Linked DNA regions of Sus scrofa. The protein of the gene in region 3 binds, or shares a complex with, the protein of the main gene of each other region. Links are inferred from orthologs where the notes say so. Each region holds a gene or a part of one and is shown on either strand. Other genes may lie near its edges. The genes, in order: SMARCD1, ARID1A, SMARCA4, SMARCC2, PBRM1, DPF3 and SMARCD2.

Region 1 (3,500 bases), on a different chromosome or scaffold from region 3:
CAGAGCTACGGCTGCTGGCCTACGCTGCAGCCATAGCAACGCCAGATCTGAACCACACCTGTGACCTACACCACAGCTCACGGCACACCAGATCCTTAACCCACTGAGCAAGGCCAGGGATCGAACCTGTAGCCTTGCGGTTCCTAGTTGGATTTGTCTTCTGCTGTGCCACAATGGGAACTCCGAGAAACTACTTTTTGCTGGATGTCTTTTGTACCATTTGAATTTTTACCACTGAGGGTTTTGTTGTCTTTTGTTTTTTAAAATCTTTTTAGGGCCACACCCATGGCATATGGAGGTTCCAGGCTAGGGGTCTAATTGGAGCTACAGCTGCCAGCCTACACTGCAGCCGCAGCAAAGCCAGATCTGAGCCACATCTGCGACCTACACCACAGCTCATGACAATGCCAGATCCTTAAACCACTGAGCGAGGCCAGGGATCGAACCTGCATCCTCATGGATGCTATTCAGATTTGCTCCATTGACCATGATGGGAACTCTGCCATTGAGGTTGTTTTTTAAATCAACTTTATTGAGGTTTATATGCAGTATATCACACCCATTTGAAATATGGGTGAATAATTTTGGTCAAATGTGTGCATTCTGTAGCGACCACCACAAGGAAAGGGCAGAGCATTTATGTCGCACCCAAATGGTCTCTTGTGCCCTTTTGTAGTTAACCCCTTGCCCTTTAGTCTTGGACAGTCTTTTTGTTTGTTTTTCTTTTTTGCTTTTTAGGGCCACACCCATGGCATATGGATGTTTCCAGGCTAGGGGTCTATAATGGAGCTGCAACTGCCGACCTACGCCACAGCCACACCAGATCCGAGCCAGGTCTGTGACCTGCACCACAGCTCATGGCAACGCCAGATCCTTAACCCACTGAGCAAGGCCAGGGATCAAACCCACAACCTTATGGTTCCTAGTCAGATTCATTTCCGCTGTGCCATGACGGGAACTCCTGGTTTGGACCTTTTTTTTGACTCTGTGTGATTAGGTCTTAGGGGACAAGCCCTTTACCAAGCCCTTGTTTTCCTCCCCAGTGTTGACCCGAATGATCAGAAAAAGACAGCTTGTTATGACATTGATGTGGAAGTGGACGATACCCTGAAGACCCAGATGAATTCTTTCCTACTGTCCACCGCCAGCCAGCAGGAGATTGCTACTCTAGACAACAAGGTAGGGCCCGGGCCCTGGATGATGGGGCCACCAGCCCTCTAGCTTAGCTGCTTGGCTGCTTTTCTTTTGTTGTTTTCAGTGGACATGTGGAAGTTTCTGGGCCAGGGATTGAATCCAAGCTGTAGCTGCAATCTTCGCTGTAGCTGCAGCAAAAACAGATCCTTTCACCCACGGCGCCAGGCTGGGGATTGAACCCCCTCCTCTGCAGTGACCCAGGCCGCTGCTGTCAGATTCTGCGCCACAGTGAGAACTCCTGCTTTTGAGTCTTGATATTCACTCAGAATGTATTCATACCTAGTGTATGTGAGGCACTTTGGTGCTGGTTGGAACCAGACACCCAAGTTGTGCTTCATAGCTTAATAGCTTTGGGCCTCATTTTCTGATTTGTGAACAGAGACCGTAATACCTGTTTCTCTAAGGTCGTTACAAGCATTAAAGGAGACAGTACATGTAAAGACATGACATTGTATCTGGCGCATAAGATCAAATGGTGGGGTTCTTATGTGGCTCAGTAGGTTAAGGGTCCAGCCTTGTCACTGCTATGGCTTGCCTGGCTGCTGTGGCACGGGTTCAGTCACCTGGCCCCGGGAACTTCCATATGCCAGGGGTGCGACCAAAAAAAAAAAAAAAAAAGGCAACTTTTGTTCCTATTGTTATTATCATTAACTTTAGACATAGTCTGTGCAAGTAAAACCAAAAAGGCTCTGGGAACACAAAGGAGAGCAGGCAGACTTTCCTGGAAGAGCTGACATCCCAACTACATTTTTTTTTTTTTTTTTTTTTGGTCTTTTTGGGCATGCATATGGAAGTTTTCAGGCTAAGGGTCGAATCAGAGCTGTAGCTGTCAGCCTGCGCCACAGCCACAGCCATGCCAGATCCGAGCCACATCTGTGACCTACACCACAGCTCACGGCAACGCTGGGTCCTTAACCCACTGAGCGAGGCCAGGGATCAAACCTGCATCTTCATAGATACTAGTCAGGTTCGTTAGTGCTGAGCCAGGACAGGAACCCCCCAACTAAATCTTGAAGGACAACGTGGGAGTTAATGACAGGTGAGAAAGGATGATGGCGCTTAGGGGCAGAGAGGTCAGAGAACATTCCAGAAAGAGAGGACAGGGTATATGAAGGCCCCGAGAGGTGCAGAGAGCCTGGCATGTTCAAGAAGTACTGTGTTAATCTCAGCTCAGGGCCCTGGAGAAGGAAACTGGATCGGGAAGCTGGGGTCTAGTCATGAGGCAGCTTTGATGCAGGGAGAACTGGTGTATACTTTGTCCTGAAAACTGAGGGCCTGGTGCGCATGCGTTTAGAATGATCACCGGCAGCACATGGGGAGTGAACTCTCAGGGGGCAGATCTGGCGCCAGGAAGTTAGGTGGTGGGGCAGTTAGGCGTGTGAGGTGTGCTGAGGGCCTAAACTTAGGGTTCTGACAGTGAGGATGGAGGGGAGTAGGCAGCCCGGGGAGGTGTGAAATGGCACTGAAAGGATTCGGACCCTGGATGGAGACGGCGGGGTGAGGTGTGGGGAGAAGAGGCTTTGTGCCGACCCCCAGCTCTCCAGCTAGCCACGTAGTCCTAGCACCCGGTTGGAAACAGGCTTGGGGGAGAGATGGTGCATTTCGTTTGGAGAGTTTAAGGTGCCTTGAGTGGTCAAGCAGTTGGATTGGTGGGCGTCTAGAAAACGGGCTCTGGTTTGCAGACCGGGGACTCTTCACCCTGTCAGAGGTCCTGGAAGATAGCTAAGGAGATGATGTCACCAGGAGGAGTGCAGAGAACCAGAAGAGGGCAGAGGACAAAACCCACAGACCAGAGCTTTCGAGACAGCCTTCGGCACCACCTCTTTTCTGCCTGAGAGTGTTTCGGGACCCCTTTGTGCTGTGGATTAAGTGTTTACCGTGTGGCGTCCCCCACTCTGGACATTGTGGAGACTAGAATGGGGCCCACAGGGACACAGGGCATGTCACCTGTGGAACGAACATGAACCGGAGCCAGGGCTGGGGGCTCTGGGCAGCAGTGCCTTTTCTGGGCCACACTCTGTTCCTGGGTTGCGAGCGGCACAAGGAGAAGTCAGACGCTGTCTGCCGTTTGGCCCTGTGTTCCCCCAGCGTGGAGATGTCAGGAGCTTCTTCCTTCCTTTCAGATCCATGAGACAATAGAAACTATCAATCAGCTGAAGACCCAGCGGGAGTTCATGCTGAGCTTCGCCAGAGACCCTCAGGGTTTCATCAACGACTGGCTTCAGTCCCAGTGCCGGGACCTCAAGGTAGAGGACCCGGGACAGGTGCAAAGGGACTTGAGGCCTGTGAGGCTCACAGTTGCTTTT
Region 2 (3,500 bases), on a different chromosome or scaffold from region 3:
GCTTCTACCATCTCCATCTTCTCTGTCCTTCACCTGAGCCCACACCTAAGAGCCCAAGATTTAAAACAAACTTTAAACAGTGTCTAGATCTCTAGAGATCACAAACATATTCTTCCCTGGGCAGGAAACCAAAACAATAATAAGGCCGGTCTATAAATTCCTTTCAGATTTTTGAGCCTGAATTCAAGGAATAGTTCATTTAGCTGAATATCATCAAAACATCCAATCAGAAACTGGTTTTCTTTGCTTTCCTCTCTGCCCTCATCATCTTTAATCTATCTATCTATGTATCTATGTATGTATGTATGTATGTATGTATGTATCTATCTATCTATCTATCTATCTATTTATCTATCAGCTCCCCCTTGGCATATGGAGTTCTTGGGCCAGGGATGAGGGGTCAGATCCAAGCTGCAGCTGCAATGTGAGCCACAGCTGCAGCAATGCTGGATCCTTAACCCACTGTGCCAGGCCGGGCTCCCAAGACACCTGGGATCCCACTGTGCCACAGCAGGAACTCCCCCTCCCCCCATCATCTTTTAGAAGGTGACAGAAATACTCACAGGCAAGCTTGAGGGTCTTGACTGAAGACTCAGATTCATATCTTCTTGCCCTCCCTTACTGGAGGTCATTGAGGGGGCTGAGGATGCCTGAGACCCAAATGAATCTTGAGATAACTCCTAAAATAAGAAAAACAAAAGTTGTGAGAGTCTGGTATTAATAAACCAGGCAAGCTTGCTTCATGGTGAAACAGCTATGGGACTTTCTTACACAGGGGAAGCTGGGTGTGAATGATCGCCCAATCACACACAATATTATCCAAAAGCAGAAAAATACAAACTGTGGCTCTCAAGAGCATCAAAAGTGGACATAAAACCCTTTCTGATGGCACTGCTAACCATTTATCACCACCCACAGAAAGCTGTTCCTTGGGGATAAATGCTAAAGTCTGGCTAACTACAAATTATATTTATCAAGGAATGAGCCTAATTAATTAAAAAAAAAAATCCTCACATTAGAACCTGTGCATTAAAATGAGTATTGCTTCCGGGAGAGTTCCCGTCGTGGGCTCAGTGGTTAATGAACCCAACTAGTATCCATGAAGATTCAGTTCAATCCCGGGCCTTGCTCAGTAGGTTAAGGATCCCATGTTGCCATGAGCTCTGGTGTAGGTCTCAGACACGGCTCGGATCCAGCCACGGCTCGGATCCAGCAGTGCTGTGGCTATGGTAAAGGCCTGCAGCTACAGCTCTGATTCGACCCCTAGCCTGGGAACCTCCATATGCCATGAGTGCAGTCCTGAAAAGACAAAAAAAGACCAAAAAAAAAAAAAAAAAAAAAAAAAAAAAAAAAAAAAAAAAAAAAAAAAGAAAAGAAAAAAAAGAAAGAAAAAAAAAGAATATTGCTTCCTTTAAAGACACACCTGGGGATGAGAAAATTATTCCAACAATGCCACCAATGAACAAAATCTTTAGTGGACTTATCATCACTCAGTAATTTCTCCTCTTTTTGCTCTTAAAAGAATAAAGCCCAAATTGTTATTTTTAGACTTTATCACCTACCTTGTTCATAGACATGGCAATAAATGAATTTTAGAAATCTGATATTTCCCAAAATCAAATCCAGTCTCAAAAAAATAAAAGGATTTGCTACCACCACTGAGAATATTCTAAAGGATGTAATGTCAGCTCTGATGGCAATTTCAAATGAAGGGGTCCAGAATATTTTGAGCAATAGCAGAATGAACGGCAGTTGGAATGAATGTATAATACAGCATCCCAAGTGACTGTTTTTTAAAAAGACCAGGGGTTTCCACTGTGGCACAGTGGAAACAAATCCGACTAGGAACCATGAGGTTGTGGGTTCGATCCCTGGCCTCGCTCAGTGGGTTAAGGATCCGGTGTTGCTGTGAGCTATGGTGTGGGTTGCAGATGTGGCTTGGATCTGGCATTGCTGTGGCTGTGGTCTAGGCCAGCAGCTGTAGCTCCAATTCGACCCCTAGCCTGGGAACCTCCATATGCCAAGGTGCGGCCCTAAAAAGCAAAAAAAACCCCAAAAACCCAACTTCACTTGGATGCTCAAGTTCTGAATGCTAAGTTAAAAAAAAAAAAAAAAATCAGCCCCCTTATCTTTATTAGTCTATGCAACTTTCCATTGCCCTACTTTATCAATAAGGAGAGCTACAGGTTTCTATGCAGTTATGCCTTTATTAGTTCAATCAATCCAGTTAGCATGTTTACCCAGATTTTAATTGGTTTTTAAGTGCACATTAGAGTACCAATCTGGATGGCAAAGTTCTTATGACACCAACCCCCAAACCGTCTGTGGTCACACACAGGGAAGGGCAAGAGGAAGGGGCATCTTACCTGTGGTGGAGGGAAGCGCTGCTGGGAATAGGCAGTTTGCTGAGACTGCTGAGTCTGGGGCTGAGGGTACGCAGCCTGCTGGGAGAGCGTCGAGGATGCTGGCTGCTGAGGTTGCTGCTGCTGGTAAGGAGACTGTGCCTGCGGCTGTGAGTAGGGGGGCTGGCTCTGGGGATGCTGCTGGGTGGTGGACTGCTGGGAGGGGTATGGAGTCGGGGACTGCTGATGGGGAGGCTGGGATGGCTGCTGGGAATATGGAGGCTGAGATGACTGGAGCTGTGGTGGCTGAGACTGAGGCTGCTGCTGATATGAAGGTTGAGCATGAGGGGTCTGGGATGGTGGTTGCTGAGAGTAGGGTGGCTGCTGCTGCTGGGGGTGAGGACTTTGCTGGTTGTAATATGGAGTCTGGCCCTGCTGACCATACCCGCTGGGGCCTTGTTGGCCATAAGGAGGAATCTGTAGGAAAGAAAAGGATACTTTTAGCACTGATACTTCTGGTAGTTTATCAGAAGCTATGTCCTGAAATAGCTTTACCTGATGAATACAGAAAGCAGGCAAGCCAAGCCTCACATTTAGAAGGCCTAGGGTTTTCTACCCACCCTGTTAAACTGAGCCAGAAAGGACAGCCAAGTTGGGTTACCAGTTGGTTACCTGTACAAGAGGACTATACTCATCCACAGAAAATTTACACTATTTAATATTTGGACAGCTTAGTTCAAGAGCAGCTGTTTTCACCAATGAGCCTACTCTTTTTTTATCATAGCCTATTCTGTCTTTATAAGTGCTAGAAATCTGTATCCTAGCCACAACAAATAGTCAACAGCAACCTGCCTAATCCACCTGAAAACCTAGAGTTTAGTAATCTAGGTGGTATGCCAAAGACTAAACTACCGTGCTTCTCTTTTTCATTTAGTCTTCCCTGAAAAAGTATTTGAGAGCCTACTTGCTTGCTTGTACCAGGAACCACTCTAGGTACTGTGGATATGTTTGGCAAGTAGGGGGAAAAAAAAAGACCAATAATAACCACCCAACTCTCTTCCATTTTCTCATTGAAAAAAAAAGTGACTGTATTTAAGGGCATACTTTAAAGTCTTAGGTTTTTATATTTATCCGTCACCATTTTTAGTGTGATTATCA
Region 3 (2,857 bases):
ACATCTGCTGCTAGCCGTTACTGCTAAGGGCTAAGCCGGCTTGGCTCTGGTACGAGGGGCTTGGGGGCGAGACTCTGGAATGTCGGGACTCAGTCTTCCTCACTGCCACTTCCTGAGCGGTCCTGAAAGAGGGACAGGAAAGAGTAGGAGTCAGTCCTGCCCACAGGAGCAAGCCCCCCGACTGGGACCAATCCCGGCTTTAAACACACCCAGTCACCAACATAGGTGGTACAACTGCTTTCCCCAGTGAACGATACACACGAGCTCCATGAGGCTGTGGGTGCTGCCATGGCCAAATCCCAACATCATTTTTCTCCCAGGGGCTGCCCCAGTGCCCATACCCACTCCTCTTTGGGACCTGGGAAGCTTGCTGGGCCCTCCCAGCTCCGTACCATCGTGGTCTGTCTGTCCCTGTGCTCCTGACCTGTGGCTTTACAGCTACCTTGGCCATTCGTGACTACATAAGATCTTTGCTTTTCTGTCTGAACTTTTTTTTTTGGTCTTTTTGCTATTTCTTTGGGCCACTCCCACAGCATATGGAGATTCCCAGGCCAGGGGTCGAATCGGAGCTGTAGCCACCGGCCTACGCCAGAGCCACAGCAACGCAGGATCCGAGCCGCGTCTGCAACCTACACCACAGCTCACGGCAACGCCGGATTGTTAACCCACTGAGCAAGGGCAGGGACCGAACCTGCAACCTCATGGTTCCTAGTCGGATTCGTTAACCACTGCGCCACAACGGGAACTCCTCTGTCTGAACATTTTAAACAGCCTGGCGAGGGCCACAGAACACCCTGCTGGATCCTGACTGGGCAGATGAGGAGCTTTACAGCCAAGACACGCCTCTCCAGAAACAGGGCCACCCCTCTCCACGTTTACAATGTCATTAATGGCCCTATAAGACCATGTACATTGACAGTCAGATTTATCCTGGGGCACCTGGTTTTGCTGCTACTGCAGTTAGACAAGAAAAATAATGACAATGAAATGGTGCTTTGCTGGGAGCTAGGCCCTGGGTCGTCCCTGCTTCACAGCTGTGGAGACAGGCTCAGAAGTGAAGTGAATCGCCCAGGTCCCATGAACGGAAGGGCCAGGCACTGGGCTGCAGCTAGAAACAAAGCTTAGTTAAACCCAGTGAGTGAGTCTGCTCCTGCCGCTCACACCCATGAAACTGTCCATTGTGGGCTTGACGCTCCCGAAGCTCATCTTGGTGTGTGGGGACCACAGCCCAGGCCCAGGGGGTCCCCCACTGAGGAACCGCTCACAGCCCATGTTCAGTGTCTGCTCCGTTCTGTTTTTATGACTTTGGGTTACGGGTTTTTTGTTTTTTGTGTATGTTTTAACCCACTACCATTGTTTAGAAGTCCTTGTAGAGGCCAGGACAGAGCCACAAGCAGAGGCCTGGGCTGCATGGTTTGTGTCACATGCAGTGGTGACACTATGGCAGCCTTGGCTGTGGAGGGCCCTGTGCTGAGGGCGCTGGGGCCTGTCTGATGGCATCGCCATTCCCAGTGCCTCCCGTCCCCCCAACATGATAAAGACTGTCCCTGTCGGCCTTAGCATGGCAGCCCAGACATTCTGGGCAGCGGGAACCGGATGGATGACCTGCCTAAACCCCAGATGCCCACTGGCTCTAAGCGCACTGGTTTGAGGGTCACGTGGACCAGGGCTTGAGTCACATGGCATTTAGTATTGAGCCTCAGCTTCCTTACATGTGAGAAGCCGAGGCACCAGAGCATCTACCCTCACGGGACCACAGAATGGAGTCTGGCACCTGCATGGGCATGGATGTCCAGTAACCCGCCTGGCCTGGGTCCTGAGGGCCTTACCTCCTCCTGCTCCTCCTCACTGTCATCATCGCTCACCACCGGCTTGGCCCTGGACCCACGGCTCGGCCGCCGCCGGCCCCCCTTGAGCCGATCCTGGGCCTTCTCTTTCCGGCCAAGCTTGATCTTCACTTTGACCGAGCGAGCTGGGGTGGGACCAGAAGAAAGAAGATGTGAGCTCGGGAGAGGAGGGTCCCCCTGGAGCCGTGCAGATGGTGGAGGAATGGGGCCTCAGGTCCTCTCCCTCCAGTGCAGCTCCACCCACCCCCACCTGGGACTCACACTCCGACTCCGAGCCTTCCTCCTCGCCCTCCTCCTCCTCCTCGCTCTCCTCCCCTTCACTGTCATCCTCCTTCTCGATTTTCTGCCGCACACTGGTGAAGACCGACTGCAGGACAATGGAGTCTTCGTAGATCTGGGTGGAGATACACAGGGCTCATGTGCATGGCCCAATGCAAGGGAGCTGCCTGCCCACTTGGCCGTGGCAGAAAGACAGCTGGACAATCCTTTCCCAGCCCGAGCCCACCAGGATGAAAAGGTTCCAGGCAAAAGGTCAGGCATGTCATTCAGAAACAGCCATGGGTTCCTCCCTCCCTTGATGAATCGGTGAGCATCCTCTTAAAGGCTCTGAGAGGGTCTGCAGCAATGTGAGAAATGCATGCCTCTCGTTAAAGCCAGAGTTTTCCCCAATTTTATGACTAGCAAATCTCTTCCAGAAGGTACCCATCCCAACACTCAGGAGAACTCATAGTCTGGGCTCTGTGTGTGCACGTGGACTTAATCACAGGACAGGAGACAGTGCAGGCTTACTTTCAAGAGTCCCCTAGTGAATCCAAACAGATCCAAGATGTACATGGGCTGTTCTCAGGGTTCTCCTGCATGGACAGGACTGAGTCTGTTTCCACTATTTTTTGTTTTTATTTTTTGGCTGCACCCGCAGCATGTGGAAGTTCCTGGGCCAGGGACTGAACCCAGGCCACTGCAGTGACAACATTGGATCCTTAATCTGCTGCACTACCAGGGAACTCCTA
Region 4 (3,500 bases), on a different chromosome or scaffold from region 3:
GGATGGAGCCGGCACCCTGACCACAGCTCCTACCTGGCCCCCTCCACCCTCCCGGCCCCGTCAGTCCCGCTATACCTTGGGCTCCTTCTTCTCCTCTGTGGCCTGGCCCTCTGCCCGTGCCTCGTCAGTCCCGCTCTCCTCTGGGCCCAGGGGAAGAGGAAATGGGAAATGTCTGACAGTCTGTCTACCATGCTCTTCCAACAGCCCCTTCTCCTAGCCAAGACCTTAATGACAGGACCGGGGGGAGCCACGGTGCCTAAGGGAAATCGCTGGGGAAAATAAACCCCCACCAATCCTCCCCATGCATCTTGTGCTCCGAGGCCCGAGGATGGCAGGGATGGTGTGGGGAGGCAGGTGGCTCTGTCTCCTGGCAAAAATGGAGTCTGGGACCTGGCCAGGCCTCACCTATCCGCTCTGGCTCATCCGAGGTGGTTCCTGCAATGCCGCTGCTTTCCAAGCCAAAGGCTGGGTCGGCCTTGCCTGTCACTTTGGCTGCTTCTTCTACTTTCCGAACGTGGGCCTCCACCAAGGCCGTGGGTACCTCTTCCTTCATTTTGGAGAACTCTTCTGCAAGACCCAGAGAGGATGAGGCTGGGAGCGGGCAGGTGGGCAGTTCTGGCTCTCCCAGTGAGAGCTTCTTCACAAGCCCGGCACATCACCTAAACCTGCAGGGAGCTGGACGGGCGCCAGGACTGAGGCCAGCAGCAGACAAGGCCAGGAAGGCAGCCAAACTTGAGGGAGAGAGTTTTATGACCTGCGTACCCAGCCCTTCAAACGCAAACGACAAGGGGCTGGAGCCCCCCTGCATTACCTAGGGCTGACTTGGCCGCAGCAGAGGCCACTCGAGGATCGACGACAGAGGCCAGGAAGGCAACGGTGCTCATCACAGGGTTGCCTGACTGGCTGAAGGGGATGGGCTGGTAGGCCAGGGGGCCCAGGGAGGCCTCAGAGTCCTCCAGGTAAGGGTCTTCAATGGGAAGCCGAAGAAAATGCAAGATGCACTCGTCCTGCGTGCGGCTTCCCACATGCTCTGATACCTTGTTCCAGTCATCTTTGTACATTTCCAGTGCCTGGTGGTAGTGGAGACACAACTTCACTGACTCAGCCACCTTCCATGAAGGTCAGCCCCCCAACCCACTCAATGGAGCTGCTTCAGAGCTTTCTAGGCTGTGGTATTTGTGTACTCTGCTGAGTCCGAGGGCAATCTCCAAGTAGCACTAAGGAAGGACAAGGAGTTAAGGAAACGGGCCCAAGTCCCTGGGCCTGGAGCTGGTCCCTGGGGCAGGTGTGATGAGCGCCAGGAAGGAGAGGAACCGGGGCCAGATCACACTCTTCCCACTCATGAGTGCGGCTGGCAGCCTGGCTGCTTCCGTTTTCATACGACTCGCCTTCCCTTTTGCCCCAGTTACCTCCAGGAGTAGCAGCGTCTCCTGTTCGGTCCACTCTCGAGTGGCACTGGCCGCAGCTTTGCTCTGCAGGAGAAACACAGGCGGGTCAGAGGGAGGCGGCCGTGGTCGTGGCCTCGAGGAGCAAAGGTGCGTTGCCCCCGGGGCAGCCCGAGACGCCCTACCTTGGAGGGGACGTTCTTCTTGGTGTACATGTCTGTGCGCAGTCCGAAGTTCTGCATGTCTGTCGGTTTCTCCTTGCCTTTGTCCGGGAAGTTGAGCATTTGCTGGGAAGCAGAGGTCTGCTATTTGTGGAGGGAAAAGAAAGAGGTGAGTCCGCGTGCCCGCCAGGAGCCAGGGGCAGACAGACAGAGAGGACAGACAGAAGGAGCTTCTTTCCCACAGCCAGGGGCACCCCTGGACGGGACTTCCTCCCTCACTGCTGTAGCTCCTCTGCTCTCACGGCTCTTCTTCCCGGGCAGGGGCCCCCCAATAAAGGGGCAAATAAGAAGCCCAGCGGGGTCTACACCCCACCTACCAGCTCTGGCTTGCCCTTAGCCGTCTCTGGCACCAGGTCATCCAGCTCTTTGCCCTTTCGCCCAGCCTTGGTATCAGCATCAACCTGGCGGCCCTGGGGGACAGAGCTTGGCGTCATGGAGGCTGGGCAGGAAATGACCAAGCCGAGGCCCTGGAGGCCTCAAGACCAAATGCTGGGCAGCCCGCAAGCTCGGGGGGCACTCATGCCACTGTTCCGTGTTCCCTCAATGGTTAATTAGATCTGCAGTTGGCATGATTTCCATTTGTATTCACAGGTATCTTTACAGGTTCTCTTAGGAGCTGGACAAGTAGGTTCTAATCCTACATGTGTGACCTTGGGCAAGCCACATAGCTTTTCTCCTCTAAATTGTTGTAATGTATGAAATGGAAGTGGGAAAAAAAAATGGAAGTGATAAAAATTATGAAGCAAAAATGAAAAAATGTTGGAAATGTGACAAAGGTAAAAAATTTCATGCAACTTCATTTTAAGCCATTTTTCTCTCTCTGCCCCATCCCCCTAGGTTAGCCTGTCTGCTCCCTGAGGACAGGAAGCATCTCTTCTCCCTCAGCAAGTCCTCACAGTCTTAGGTACAAAGGCTGAGAGAGGGTGCTAAGCACACGGGGCTGAATCCTGTGGCCCTTGCGTCCTATGGGAAAGGAAGAAGCCTCAAAACACTTCTGAACCATTACCCTAAAAAACCAGAAAAAGAAAAGTCCAAAGAAGGCCCGTTTTGCCCACCCCCACCCTGACCCCACAGCCCCTCACCCTACCTGCGGGGTCTTGGGCTGCAGAGGCACCAGCCCCGATGGTGTGTCCGCCAAGACGTGGAAGTGAGAGGTGGGCGGAGGCCCCATTGGGGTTGGTCGACTCTCAGCGTCCACCTGGTAGTTAATCAGACCCCACTGTTCTAGGAAGGCATGGACCCTGTGAGGACGGAGGCAGAGACAGGGTCACATGGGACAGCCAGACAGTACTGGAGGAGGAGGGCTCGGGTGGAGGTGGGGGCACCCTCTTCTCTGCTCCTTCTACTCCCCAAAAAGTCCCACCTACTCCCAGCACCTAAATGCCAGTGACACTCAAGTCTCCATTCACAGCTGTGGCCCCTGCATGTCCACTCGCCCACTAAACATCTCTTCTTGGGTATCTCACGGGATAAGGTCCTTCACTACAGACATGCCCCTTCAGAGAGTGAAGGACTCACACTCCAGAGAGTGCCCCGCATGCCCTCAAGCCCCCCACACCCAAACCTGAACTTCACCTTCCCCAGAGGTGTTTTTTCCTGCTCGTCCCCATGCACCTTGCTGGCCTTTCTACTTCGGCCAAGAAGCATCTGCAGGCAGATATTCTCACATCCCCCCTGCCCCCCTCACGGCCCCTCAGCTGCAGACACACCTCATGATGGCACACACATCACCCGCCAGGTTCCTGCGGCAGGCGGTGGATGTGAGATACTCTTGGGGGTTCAGGCGGTAAGTGTCGATCATGAAGTTCCGATAGGCCAGGTAGCTTAGGAAAGAGAGGGATGAACGAACGATGAGAGGGCTGAAGGGCAGGAAAAATGCTAAGAGAGCCAAGGA
Region 5 (3,500 bases), on a different chromosome or scaffold from region 3:
CAGCTCCAATTTGACCCCTATCTTGGGAACTTCCATATGCTGCCGCCAGTGTGGCCCTAAAAAAAATAAAAAAGAAAAAAAAATGCTGTTCCTGTGTCCAAGGGAGCATGCAGTCCTAGAGTTAAAACTTAACACTTTTGTTGTGCTTTGAAGTTTCAAAGTGATTTCACGTACATCTCACTGTCACGACAATCTCAGGGAGGTATGTACACTCTAGTGTTCTCATTTTAGAAATGAAGAGACAGATCTGAGAGGTTGTAACTCAAGCAACATCAAATGGATAGAGATGAAAGACTTGGGTCTCTTGTCTTCTGAGCTCAGGTCTTATTGCTCCTCCTACATTTCCTTTCTTGCTAAACTTCCAAAATACATTTTAAAATGTATTCTTTGGATGAGATTTGAAAATTATTCTTAGGTAATAAGGACCTTTTTTTTTCTTACCAAAGTAAATTAATGATTCAAGGAGTTTTTGATGTTGTATGGTCTAAACTATATATACATATACCCCAGTGATTTACATTTTTTGTCATTTGATTTTCAGTGGATTATTTGCAAAAGTAATTTTGATCTCCTGCCACATGGTTGAAGGCTTTTTTTTTTTTTTTTTTGGTCTTTTTAGGGCCTCACCTGAGACCTATGGAAGTTCCCAGGCTAGGGGTCAGATTGGAGCTGCAGCTGCTGGCCCACACCACAGCAAACCAACTCTTCGTCTGCGACCTACACCACAGATCACAGCAATGCTGGATCCCTCAGCTACTGAGCAAGGCCAAGGATTGAACCCACATCCTCATGGATACTAGTTGGGTTTGTTACCACTGAGCCATAATGGGAACTCCACCCCCCCCTTTTTAAACCTTTCCAAAGTTGCATGTGGTATCCTTTCAATGCTCTTAGGACTTTAGGAAAGAAATGTCTTTCTCTGAATTTTTTTTGGTGAGTTTTCAGACTCTTTGCTCACATGAGCCATTCTTAGTTTGTTCCAGCTTGCTAACATTTGGTGTCACATGTGAGCCTTCCACATGTGTTCACCCTTCATTCCAACTCTAATTGAACTCTGCTCTTATTGACTGGGGGGCAGTTGGACAGGCATGCTTCATTCCTGGAATTGACAGTCATTCCAGGTGAGTAAAGGGGAGCCTCAGTGAGACATCTTTAAGCATGTGAAAAGCATTTGGTTTTAAAAATGGAAGCAATGGAAGCGTACTATTAGTGCCTGCCCCTTTGCAGTGGTTTGCTTAGCAGAACAGAACTGATATGCCTGTTTTCTTCAGTTCTCTTATCTTTCTTTAGCAGTTCTGTTTGAATGTTTTCTATCTATCCGTACTCATTTTTGCTCTTTCTGACCCTTCTTTTTATTTCCCCTTTCTCTGCCTTGTTCTTCTCTTTCAGTTTTGAATATATTAACACTGAATCAGCACTTCTAAAGCCCTGCCTTCTCCCCCTGGCTTCACTTGGCCTTCAGACATAATGAGGAGACTGGCTTTTCGAGGCGCTGGTTGTGCTCTGGTAAAGCTGGTAAATTACTGATCATCTACACCCTTTTCCTTTTCTGTCCTTCCTTGCCTTTTCCCTTCCACCTTTCTTAAATTTTGTTATCCTCTTCATAAAGAGTCCCACCTTATGTTCATCAAATTCACTTGTGTCCTCGTCATAGACTGTTTACAGAAGTCTGGTCCTTAGTTTCTTCATCTTAATGAAGTAAGGCCAGTTTGTCAACCTTTTATAAAGCAAACAAAGATCAGCAATATTTGGCTGGCCTTGGTCTAAGTCCTTTGAAGCTTCGGCCAATTGCAAACTAATACACTGTATAACAAACCAAGTCCCGTAGGAAGGAACATCATCACTTTAGACTCTGTGTTTAAACACCATGTGGATTGCAGTTCAGAGGAAGAGATAAGAAACTCCTCTTGTTTCTTAGTTGGTTACCAGAATTTGTTATTTGTTGGTTTGTTTTGCTTCTGCTTTCTGTTCCCTGGAGATACCCAGTTTTTCTCTCCATACCACTGGCAGCCCATTCTTTCAGCTGTTAGTGTCTTAGTTTCCTGAAATTGAATGTTGATGAATGACATTGGGATCACTTTTTTCTTTTTGCTTTAGAGAAAGACTTTTGAAATCATAATATACTGCCTGATGTTGTTAAATTGTATAAACCTTGTAGGACTTTCTTGGGTATACACCCTTTCCCTCTAGCTGTAGCAGATCATTTCAGTAGTTGCATTTCTTGTGTTATAGTCAAATATGTGTATCTGTAAAGTTGTGTTAATATTATTTAGTAGCCTTACTAAAACCGAGAGCAAGTATTTACATATTTCTGAAAGGCCAAGGAGGACCTAAAAGTTCACTTCTGAGGTGGTCTTCCAGATCACCTACTGAAAATATAAAGCTGTGAGTTCCTTAGAGTAGAGCTGAGTACGTCACATAACTGAAAAGGAAGTTAGTCTGGATTAACAGAAAAGTTTTAAAACACAGATTTGCTACTTTAGCATAGGTACAGTAAGTCATGTTAAGTGTTTTAAGGAATGGAGAAAACTCAATTTTCAGTGTGTTAATTTAGGGCATATCTGAAATGCTAGAAGGTTAACCAGTCCTCTGTTCCTCTACCCTTTTGCACTACATATTTGCATCAAGGTCTGCTTCCAGTTTTTTTTGTTTTTTGTTTTTTGTTTTCCCCCACATCCTGGCCCATCTGGAGATTGATCATAATTGTAAGAAACACGGGGGAAAACAAATGAGGTTGCTGACTCCAGAGGTGACCACCTTGGGGTCTCTGTCCCTGAGGCCTGCCTAACTGCCTCAGAGACTAAGGGATTAATACCTTTAACACACTGGTGTACCACTGCATTTTCCAAACTCCAGTCCAGAATAAATTTGAGGCTAGAAGTGATTGATTCCTTCAAAATTGGTAATGTACAAATGAGTATACTTTTGCTGAATTTGTCCCATCCAAGTAAGTGTAGCATTCTGGTAAGCGAAGGGGCTAAAGCAAGATTTAGGACTTGCCCTGAAAAAAAGTAGTTAACCTTCTTTGCAACAGTTTAAATATCCTCCAAAGTGAACCAGAAGCTTGGTAGTCAGTGGCCAGCTGAGGGCTTGGTGGCAAAGTATAAACTTAAGTATAAGAACATGGCTAATTATTTCTTATAGAAGAAGTTGGATTCCATGGGTTCCAAGAGAAGAAGAGCTACCTCCCCTTCCAGTAGTGTCAGCGGGGACTTTGATGACGGGCACCATTCTGTGTCCACACCAGGCCCAAGCAGGAAAAGGAGGAGACTTTCCAGTCTTCCGACTGTAGACCCTGTGAGTAACTTGGATCACAGTTTCTGTCTTCTGTCTTCGCTACCCTTCCTCCGATGATAAGCAGTTATGATGCAAGGCCTGTGTGCTTCTTTTTCCTCTGGTTTGATATTCTCAATTTTTCTTTTATGAAAAGTATATATTTAGCCAAAAGTATTTGAGTGATGGAGTAATTTAGTATTATGAAATAATAAAGTATATCAGCA
Region 6 (3,500 bases), on a different chromosome or scaffold from region 3:
GAAAAGACAGGACAAGTCTTATTACCTCCATTTCACAGACAGGCAAACTGAGGTTCCGAGATGTTAAGTGACTTGCCCAAGGTCACGCAGCTACTCGATGGCCGGGGCAAAATGAAAACCCTGACCATCCACATGCACCTTGTGATATTCTGGCTCTTTCTCTGGGGCCCAAATAAAGAGCAATGTGAAGTTGACCAACACCTTCCTTTTTTCAGTACAGAAGGCGATAAAGGTGACCGTCACTTTTGTTTGCTTGCAGTATCCTGCAGGTGCCACCCACAAACTGGCTTTGCTGCCCCCACTTTCCACGTAGAAACTGAGGTCTCTGAGAAGGAAGGGGTCAGGCCCATCCTGCGGGAGTGAAACCAGGAAGGGAACTCTGGGCCTTCCTGATGTCCAGTCCAGAGCCCTGGCCACCCTCACCCCTGCAGGAGGTTACAGCGCCCTCCTTGGCCTGCAAGCTGTCACAGCAGGCACGCCTGGAGAGAGAACAGGACCACCCCATCATCTGCCTTGAGCTGGGGAACAGATGTGCAAATGCTCTAAAGGGGTCTGTCACCTGGAGGGCCACTGTTTTGGTTTCAGATTTGATTTTTTTTTTTTTTAACTTTTAAGCCATTCGTGGCTTTTGATGACTGATGTGAACATTTCGATGACTTTCTTCCTAAAATTAAACCAAAGTGATTTTCAAAACCAATAACCAGCCTTTGAGGACACCCACTTCGGGGTCTGTGGGAAGACAGAGAGCCGGAGCGATCCGTAGGGGAAATCTGTCCTCCGACGAGACCCTCCCAGATAAAGGGGTGATGAGACCACACGGCCACTTCCCAAACCCTCTCTGGGCCTCCAGAATCCCCAACAGGTTCACCAAGCAGCAGGGGAAGGAAGTATCCTGCAATGAAGATGAAAATCCCATCTGCTGGGGCCCTTAAACGAGATCATCACATATGGGTGGAACTCCCTCCACGGGGCCCCTGCAGGAAAGGGACCCCCTTCTCTCACCACGGGTCACCCTGCCAAGGACGGGGGAGATCAGCATGGCTCGGCTCCGTGCCAGGCTGCCCTGGGTCTGCGGGCCAAGAGCAATTAGCCCGGAAGGCGGGCTCTTGGCAAGTCCGAACGCTGCGGCCGGACAGGAGGGGCCCAAGTGGCCGGAGCCTCCGGGCCTCCAGGGGCTTCTTCAGGAGCCGAAGGACAGAAATAACCCGGGTCTTTGTTGTAAGCAGCCGGCCACGGAGATGGAGCTGATTTCAGGGAAGCCGAGCATGCGCCAGGGTCCCGCTCACCGAGACCTGCCCTTTGGGCAAATGAGTTTTCCAGAAACGTGTCAGTTATTGTGTGTCGCTGCTGTGGCCCCTGCCGCAGAGAGGCAAAGGCAACCCGGTCTGCTCCAGCCCCCGGGGCTGACTTCTAACACAGACTTCCTGGAACAGCTCTTTCTTCTCGAAACACTCGTTCAAAAGGAGAGTTTGGCATCTAGTGGGGAGCGTAGGAGACCAGGGCAGCCCTCGGGCTGAGGGTTCTGTGTGACTCTCATCCTGGTCATAAGCTATCACATCACCCCAGTTCTTTGTCGAGGGGACCCTCCTTTCTCCCCGATCCTGAAATTTCCAGAATCAGTTCTCAGTGGGCAATGACACACACACACACACACACACGATGCAGAGGGAAGGAATTACTCGGGAAAGGAATTCGCAGTGTCACATCAATACTGCAGAGTTTCTCAGCGGCCGTGCTTGGTACCGTCATCCAGACTCTTGACCTGGCAGCCCTTTCACTCACCTTCCTGGTTCCTGAGTCCCAGTCGGGGAAGCTCCAGACCCAGGCTGAGTGGAAGGCTGAGTTTTGGCGTCTTCCTCTGCCACAGGCTCCCTCTCCTCTCCTCAAGGAGGCCCCAGCTCCAAGGGGCTGGTCCCTGGCAAAGCTGCACGATGGACAGCAAATACTGACCGGCTCCAGCGGGGCCTCTGAATTATCTCAACATTTCTACCTGCCCCTCCCTGCTGCCCCCTCCCTCCCCAGCCCCATCCAGAGACCACCAGGCTGTGGACACCCCTGGACATCCAAGGGGGGCCCAAAAAGCAGCTCTTCCTCTTCACAGAGACCAAGGAGCAAGGAAGGATTTCAGGGCTCCTTCGTCTAGATGGCCTCCGGGCTCCGAGTCTAGAAGTTTCCAGGGAGGCTTGTAATAAATAAAAACTTCTCCACAGCCCTTTGCTCCTGGGCTGAGTTCAGGATGAAGAGACTAAGCTGGGGGCAGGGAGGCTGGGCGAAGATATCTCGGAACACAATAGATAGAAACACCAAACTGCACATGAGGGACAGATGGGTCGTCACAGGGTGCCCAGTGGTTCTTTGCGACGGGGACCAGTGCGAGCAACGCAGGGCTGGGGTGAGGGCGAGGGGCCTCCATGGGGCTGCGGCTGGGCTCGTTCTTCGAAAGTTTCCCATCTTTCTGGCAGAAACAAGGGGGTGCTGGCTGAGTACGGAGACCCGTGTGTAGGAGGTGAGCGGACCCCTCACCCTCTTGCTTCCATGTGTCCACGCCCTCTGTGGTCACTGATGTTCCTAACAGTTGGTCTGTCTGGATATATGGGAGTAGGGGCTCGATCTGGTTTGAACCGGGCTCAGGTTCAGCCTCTCCGGCAGCAAGTCACATCCCGTGACCTGGGGCCCTAGGCCTGGCAGCCGAAGGCCGAGGCTTTTTCTTTGAGCAGTTCCCAGCATAAGTGGCAGCTCCAGCTCCCTGTAAGAAACGAGATGGTGTTACTGGCTGCCCCTCTCCAACCCCTGGGCCCTAAACCCTTTGCAAGCCCTCTTTTATTGGACTTGCATGATTCAGAGAGGAGGCCCAGGCCTGAAAACGTTCTGAAGTCTGTCCCTCAGCTGAGAAAACAGTAAGTGCTCGGAGATGGTCAGCTGACTGCTGGAAGGACCAGCCCTCTTGGCTGTGCCTTTTAACCAGCATCCCTGGGTCTCCCCTTTCCCCTAGAAGCTCACACCTCCCCTCATCTCAGCCGTATGTCTGGGAATCATCTCTCTGGCCCTCAAGTTGAAATCTCTGGTTGAAGCTGTGCCTCAGTTTCTTCATCTGTAGCATGGTAGTGGTCGCACTGACCTCGTAGGGTTGTGATGATTAAATGAGACAAGACATGTCAAGCCCTTAGCACGAGGCCTGCACAGTAGCGAGGGCTCGGTAAGTGGTGGAAGTAGCTGTTGTTTTTGTCAACCCCATCATCCTTACCTTCTGGGGGTTCAGCCACTGGAGGATTTAAACAGTACATGTGATAGCCGCGGTCACAGTCATCGCAGAAGAGCAGCTGGTCCTAGTGGAACGCACAGAAGGTGGAGAGGAGGAAAGACTGAGTTATTCAGAACCAACATCTGCCCACGCCTCCAGCCATATTTTCATCATCCATCTTCCAGGCCCCATTTGGGGTCGTCACTGTCCCCTGAACATGCTTTGTGCTTTGCCCACATCTGGAATCCCCCCTCTATCT
Region 7 (4,190 bases), on a different chromosome or scaffold from region 3:
CAGACTGACAGGTAACCCACTTTTAGGGAGAAAGAGGAGAGGGATCCCTGAGAAGACCAAGAGGCAGGAAAGCAGCAGCAAAAGCAGGGTTTATCACTGGAGGAAAGATACCAGGAAGTACAGATGAGCAAAACTGACTAAAAATGGTTGCTCTATAAATGTGGAACGCTGTGGGGCAAGTCTTGGTTGGGGATGAAAACAAAGGAGAGGATTTGTATGGTAAAAAAGTCTATCTTGGATACTTAAAAAGTGTAGTCTGAGTAACAACAGCATTGCTCAGGAGCTTGTTAGGAATGCAGAATCTTGAGCCTACCCTAGAACCCAGGCCTACTGAAACTTAATCTGCATTTTTAACAAAAGCCTCAGATGTTTCTTATGCTCCTTAAAGAAGCACTGGTCTGTATCATGGGGAAAAAAAATCCCAGAATGTCAGAGGGGCTCCCTGGCACAGCTGAAGCAGCTTTATTTTGCATACCTGCTAACACAGATCTGATTTCCGAAAAGGTATTAAGTTTTTGAATAGTGCTTTAAATCCTGGAGAAAGACCTTATTTAACTTAGGGGTTTCTCATAATGCAAACTTCCTTCTCCTAGAAACATTTCCTCTGGAGTAAAGTATTAGAATTCCTTAAAGTGAGGCAGAGGCACGTTCGAAATATGCGATAAAAACTTGGCGCTTGGCCAAGTCCACTCTTCGCACAGCTGCATAGGGTCTGGAGCAGCCAAGTCTCTTGACAGCTCTGAGCCACTAGGATGGGCTTTTAGAGTCACGCTGGCGGCTGTTCTGCCGCAGAAAGCAGCTTTAAGTTGTCTGTAATGTTAAAACGTAGAAAGGAGCTCTGACAACTATTTTCAGGGACCGAGGCTGGGTACCTCGGCGAACCAGCCGCAAGGGGGGAAGAGAGCAGCAACTACCCGTTTACTACAGTAGTGCTAGTGACCTTCGACCTCTGACCTTCTGCATTTCTTGAGTTGCTTCCGCCCCCTCCCCTCCAGTGGAGGGCCGGCCCAAGGGTATGGGCGGGGCTCCGGGGACCGGCGGTTAGAGGCGGTGCCTGTAGGGGGGCGGGTCTCGCGAGGGCGGTATTTGAGGGGGCATCCTCGCATTGGCCAGCTGGGTATAGGCGGGGCCTAGCGCTGGGCTGGGTTAGGCGGGGGAGGGAGTTAACTGCAGCTTCTGGGTAACTGGACGCTGGCGTTGAAACCTCCAGAGACCGGCGAAGGCTAGCGGGCCCGTAGCGGATCCCGGATCCGGAATTTCCCGGGCAGGACCGGAATCAAGACCGGCCCGGCCCCAAACTGGGTTTGTGAGGAACTCGCGAACTTGGATTAGGAAATCCCGGAACCCGGATCAACAAACCCCAGAACCCGGAATTTAGATCGGAAAGTCCCGGACCGCGGAGCGCGGAGCGAACTCAGCGCGGAGCCCGGAGCCCGGATTGAGACACCGCGGGACGGGACGGAGCGATGTCGGGCCGTGGCGCGGGCGGGTTCCCGTTGCCCCCGCTGAGCCCTGGCGGCGGCGCGGTTGCCGCGGCCCTGGGAGCACCGCCTCCGCCAGCGGGACCCGGCATGCTGCCCGGACCGGCGCTAAGGGGGCCGGGGCCGGCTGGAGGCGTGGGGGGCCCGGGGGCCGCCGCCTTCCGCCCCATGGGCCCCGCGGGCCCCGCAGCACAGTACCAGGTGAGGAGGGCTGAGGGGCGGGCGGCGCCGCGAGCACACTCGGGTAGGGGGCGAAAGAGGCCTCGAGTGAGGGTCCTGGAGCAGCCTTCCTGACAGAGGGCACAGGGGCTCTGCATGCGGAGTTCACGGGGCACTGTGCGGGGCAAAGCCAGGGACTCTGGGGCTCGGCTAGGTGGTTGCGGAGGAGTTAGGGGAGAAGGTAAGAGCGACTCTCGGGTGAAGGGTTTGAAGCTGTTGGGAGGGTGTGAGGTCTTGGAACAGGGGTTCTGAGTAACTGAGAGATGGAGGAGTTGTTGGAGCTAGTGAATTGTAGGCGGGTGGCTTGAGAAGTCTAGTGTAGATTCTCCGCAATGGGGTCCTGGGAAGTGATGAGAAAGTTTTGGAAAAGGGCCCTCACTGAGAAACCAGGGTTACCCTACATTGGTCTTGGTCCTACTCCAAGGCTGCTCTTTTTTCTCTAGTTGGGAACTGGCAGAGTTTTAGCGTGTCTGAGATGGCTCCCAGCTGCTGAGGAGGAAGAAGGGCCTGGCTTCCCACCGACAGGAGGTGGAGGATAGGACCAGCGATTCCAGCCTGTGCAGGGGGAGTCTACTCCTGGGTCATGCGCAGGGGCCTTCACACAGGGGTGACTCTGGGTTAGACCAGAGAGGGTGGTGGCTAGGCCTGAGAAAGGAGGGAAACCCAGCCCATTCTGGACAGACTCTCTTTGGCTTTCTGCCTGGTGTCACAGTGTCCAGGAGTTGATTAGTCTGGGGGAGCATAGAGGCTCCAGTGAGCCTTGCTGGTCTGGGGCTGGAGGAGCCTGTGAGAGTTGCTTCAAAGGGTTCTGTCCTTACCTCTTTGGTGCTTGGCTTTGCAGAGGGCTTCTTGGGTTGCAGCTTCAAAGGCCATGGAGATGCAGAGACTCCATTCTTGGGGTCAGTGTGTGAGGAACTCAGCCTGACCCTGGGGTTGGGGCTTACCAGCCCCCAAGTTCATTGTTTCTGGTTGCCCCAGAATGCTTAGGAATTGTGCCCATTCTTTTCCTACCCTCTGTCCACTTTTTTTTTTTTTGTCTTTTGTCTTTTTAGGCCTGCACCCGCGGCATATGGAGGTTCCCAGGCTAGGGGTCGAAGCAGAGCTGCAGCTGCCAGCCTACATCAGAGCCGCAGCAACGCCAGATCCGAACCATGTCTGCCACCTACACCACAACTCATGGCAATGCCAGATCCTTAACCCACTGAGTGAGGCCAGGGATTGAACCTGCAACCTCATGGTTCCTACTCGGATTCGCTTCCAGTGCACCACAACGGGAACTCCATCCCCACTTTTAATTAGCCTTTTAGGTTCTCACAACGCCATCTGTATCCCAATCCATGTATCCCAGCACTTGACACTGGCTTCTTGCTAATCTCTCAGGGAAGCTAGGAGATTCTCGTGTCTCCAGTAGAGGTCCCCCAAATGGATCCTCATAGAGTAGGGTACACATCCTCCCAGGACCCCTGGGCCTTCACTTTGTAAAGAGATGCTTAACTGGGGACAGTGATTTTTCCCTCTAACTTCTCATTCTCCCTCCACCCTCTAAAGAAAACCTAGGGCCTGGGTATTGATAGAGACAGACCTGGTCCCAGCGGCTCCAGCTGGGATTCATCTTTCCCATCTTGCTCTCCCCCTTGGCCCAAGGTGTCACGGAGGGGTCCCTGCATCTGTCATTCTGGCCCTTGGGCCAGTTAGCTGAGGTGCCTCCCTTTGGGCTGTTGGCCTGGGAGGGATCTAAAGGGCAGATAGGAGCCCCTCCACTTTTCCTCAACCTGCAGCCCATGGGGAATGTGGCCTGGGGAAAACCCCTGAGCAGGTGGCCTCGGGCAAGTGGCAGGGCTGAGCTGGCTGGCTGGGTAGCCCAGGCTACCAGGAGCAAGACCTTGAGGAAGGCACTGAGCCTCTGCTTGTGTGGGCTTCTCCCCATCTCCTGCTTCTCTTCCAGGGACCAGAGGGGCAGTAAAGGTAGATGGGGGGAAGGAGGAGGCAGCTCATCTTGAGTGCAGAGAGGATCCTACTTGGCCTCTTTTCAAGTTCTTTATGTGACTTCCAGGAGAAGAGACTTGAGATCTCAGGAGCAATGGGCACCTCTCTGTTGGGGCTCACGAGGTGAGTCAGGGAGCAAGGCGCTCAAGCTCACGGCGGGCAAATAGGCAATCTTGTTGATAGAAGGGAAATGATGACCCAGCTCCTTGCACGCAGTGTTTCCAGCTGTGGATCACAGTCTACTAAGGAACTTGAAGAAAACAAAAAATGGGAAAAACAAACCCCCCCAAGAACACAGATTGCTGGGTTCACACCAGAGAGTTCAGAGTATTTTCTACGTATGTGGGGGTATGTTCTCTTCTCCTTGGTCCTTAGGCCCAGCCACCAGGAGCACCAGGGCCACAGGCTCTGAGCCCTGGCAGAGCATGCTCTCTGGAGGCAGCAACATCGGGCTGGCCTCTCTCCCCTGCTGTCCCAGATGGTGGAGGTAGAGTCCTGTTGAAG

The links.
Region 1: SMARCA4 (region 3) and SMARCD1 share a complex: the UniProt entries of both Homo sapiens proteins name them as parts of the BAF complex. The link is inferred for Sus scrofa from reciprocal best matches to the Homo sapiens genes SMARCA4 and SMARCD1.
Region 2: SMARCA4 (region 3) and ARID1A share a complex: the UniProt entries of both Homo sapiens proteins name them as parts of the neuron-specific chromatin remodeling complex. The link is inferred for Sus scrofa from reciprocal best matches to the Homo sapiens genes SMARCA4 and ARID1A.
Region 4: SMARCA4 (region 3) and SMARCC2 share a complex: the UniProt entries of both Homo sapiens proteins name them as parts of the BAF complex. The link is inferred for Sus scrofa from reciprocal best matches to the Homo sapiens genes SMARCA4 and SMARCC2.
Region 5: SMARCA4 (region 3) and PBRM1 share a complex: the UniProt entries of both Homo sapiens proteins name them as parts of the SWI/SNF-B (PBAF) chromatin remodeling complex. The link is inferred for Sus scrofa from reciprocal best matches to the Homo sapiens genes SMARCA4 and PBRM1.
Region 6: SMARCA4 (region 3) and DPF3 share a complex: the UniProt entries of both Homo sapiens proteins name them as parts of the BAF complex. The link is inferred for Sus scrofa from reciprocal best matches to the Homo sapiens genes SMARCA4 and DPF3.
Region 7: SMARCA4 (region 3) and SMARCD2 share a complex: the UniProt entries of both Homo sapiens proteins name them as parts of the BAF complex. The link is inferred for Sus scrofa from reciprocal best matches to the Homo sapiens genes SMARCA4 and SMARCD2.

The regions. Positions count from the first base shown.
Region 1 is NC_010447.5:15,999,278-16,002,777, forward strand, and holds part of SMARCD1 (SWI/SNF-related matrix-associated actin-dependent regulator of chromatin subfamily D member 1), read left to right. Parts: intron 1-1,043; coding exon 1,044-1,179; intron 1,180-3,317; coding exon 3,318-3,440; intron 3,441-3,500. UniProt on the Homo sapiens protein: Involved in transcriptional activation and repression of select genes by chromatin remodeling (alteration of DNA-nucleosome topology).
Region 2 is NC_010448.4:84,077,229-84,080,728, reverse strand, and holds part of ARID1A (AT-rich interactive domain-containing protein 1A), read right to left. Parts: intron 2,820-3,500; coding exon 2,367-2,819; intron 681-2,366; coding exon 564-680; intron 1-563. UniProt on the Homo sapiens protein: Involved in transcriptional activation and repression of select genes by chromatin remodeling (alteration of DNA-nucleosome topology).
Region 3 is NC_010444.4:69,807,063-69,809,919, reverse strand, and holds the end of SMARCA4 (transcription activator BRG1), read right to left. Parts: intron 2,242-2,857; coding exon 1,855-2,241; coding exon of another isoform or gene 1,830-1,854; 3' UTR 501-1,829; downstream 1-500. UniProt on the Homo sapiens protein: ATPase involved in transcriptional activation and repression of select genes by chromatin remodeling (alteration of DNA-nucleosome topology).
Region 4 is NC_010447.5:21,569,765-21,573,264, forward strand, and holds part of SMARCC2 (SWI/SNF complex subunit SMARCC2), read right to left. Parts: intron 3,430-3,500; coding exon 3,316-3,429; intron 2,848-3,315; coding exon 2,694-2,847; intron 2,017-2,693; coding exon 1,924-2,016; intron 1,691-1,923; coding exon 1,571-1,690; intron 1,473-1,570; coding exon 1,410-1,472; intron 1,071-1,409; coding exon 812-1,070; intron 568-811; coding exon 406-567; intron 141-405; coding exon 76-140; intron 1-75. UniProt on the Homo sapiens protein: Involved in transcriptional activation and repression of select genes by chromatin remodeling (alteration of DNA-nucleosome topology).
Region 5 is NC_010455.5:34,814,618-34,818,117, reverse strand, and holds part of PBRM1 (protein polybromo-1), read left to right. Parts: intron 1-1,389; exon of another isoform or gene 1,390-1,467; coding exon of another isoform or gene 1,468-1,515; intron 1,516-3,144; coding exon 3,145-3,297; intron 3,298-3,500. UniProt on the Homo sapiens protein: Involved in transcriptional activation and repression of select genes by chromatin remodeling (alteration of DNA-nucleosome topology). Required for the stability of the SWI/SNF chromatin remodeling complex SWI/SNF-B (PBAF).
Region 6 is NC_010449.5:95,981,855-95,985,354, forward strand, and holds part of DPF3 (zinc finger protein DPF3), read right to left. Parts: intron 3,327-3,500; coding exon 3,245-3,326; intron 2,747-3,244; coding exon 2,676-2,746; 3' UTR 1-2,675. UniProt on the Homo sapiens protein: Belongs to the neuron-specific chromatin remodeling complex (nBAF complex).
Region 7 is NC_010454.4:15,090,536-15,094,725, forward strand, and holds the start of SMARCD2 (SWI/SNF-related matrix-associated actin-dependent regulator of chromatin subfamily D member 2), read left to right. Parts: upstream 1-1,390; 5' UTR 1,391-1,466; coding exon 1,467-1,682; intron 1,683-4,190. UniProt on the Homo sapiens protein: Involved in transcriptional activation and repression of select genes by chromatin remodeling (alteration of DNA-nucleosome topology).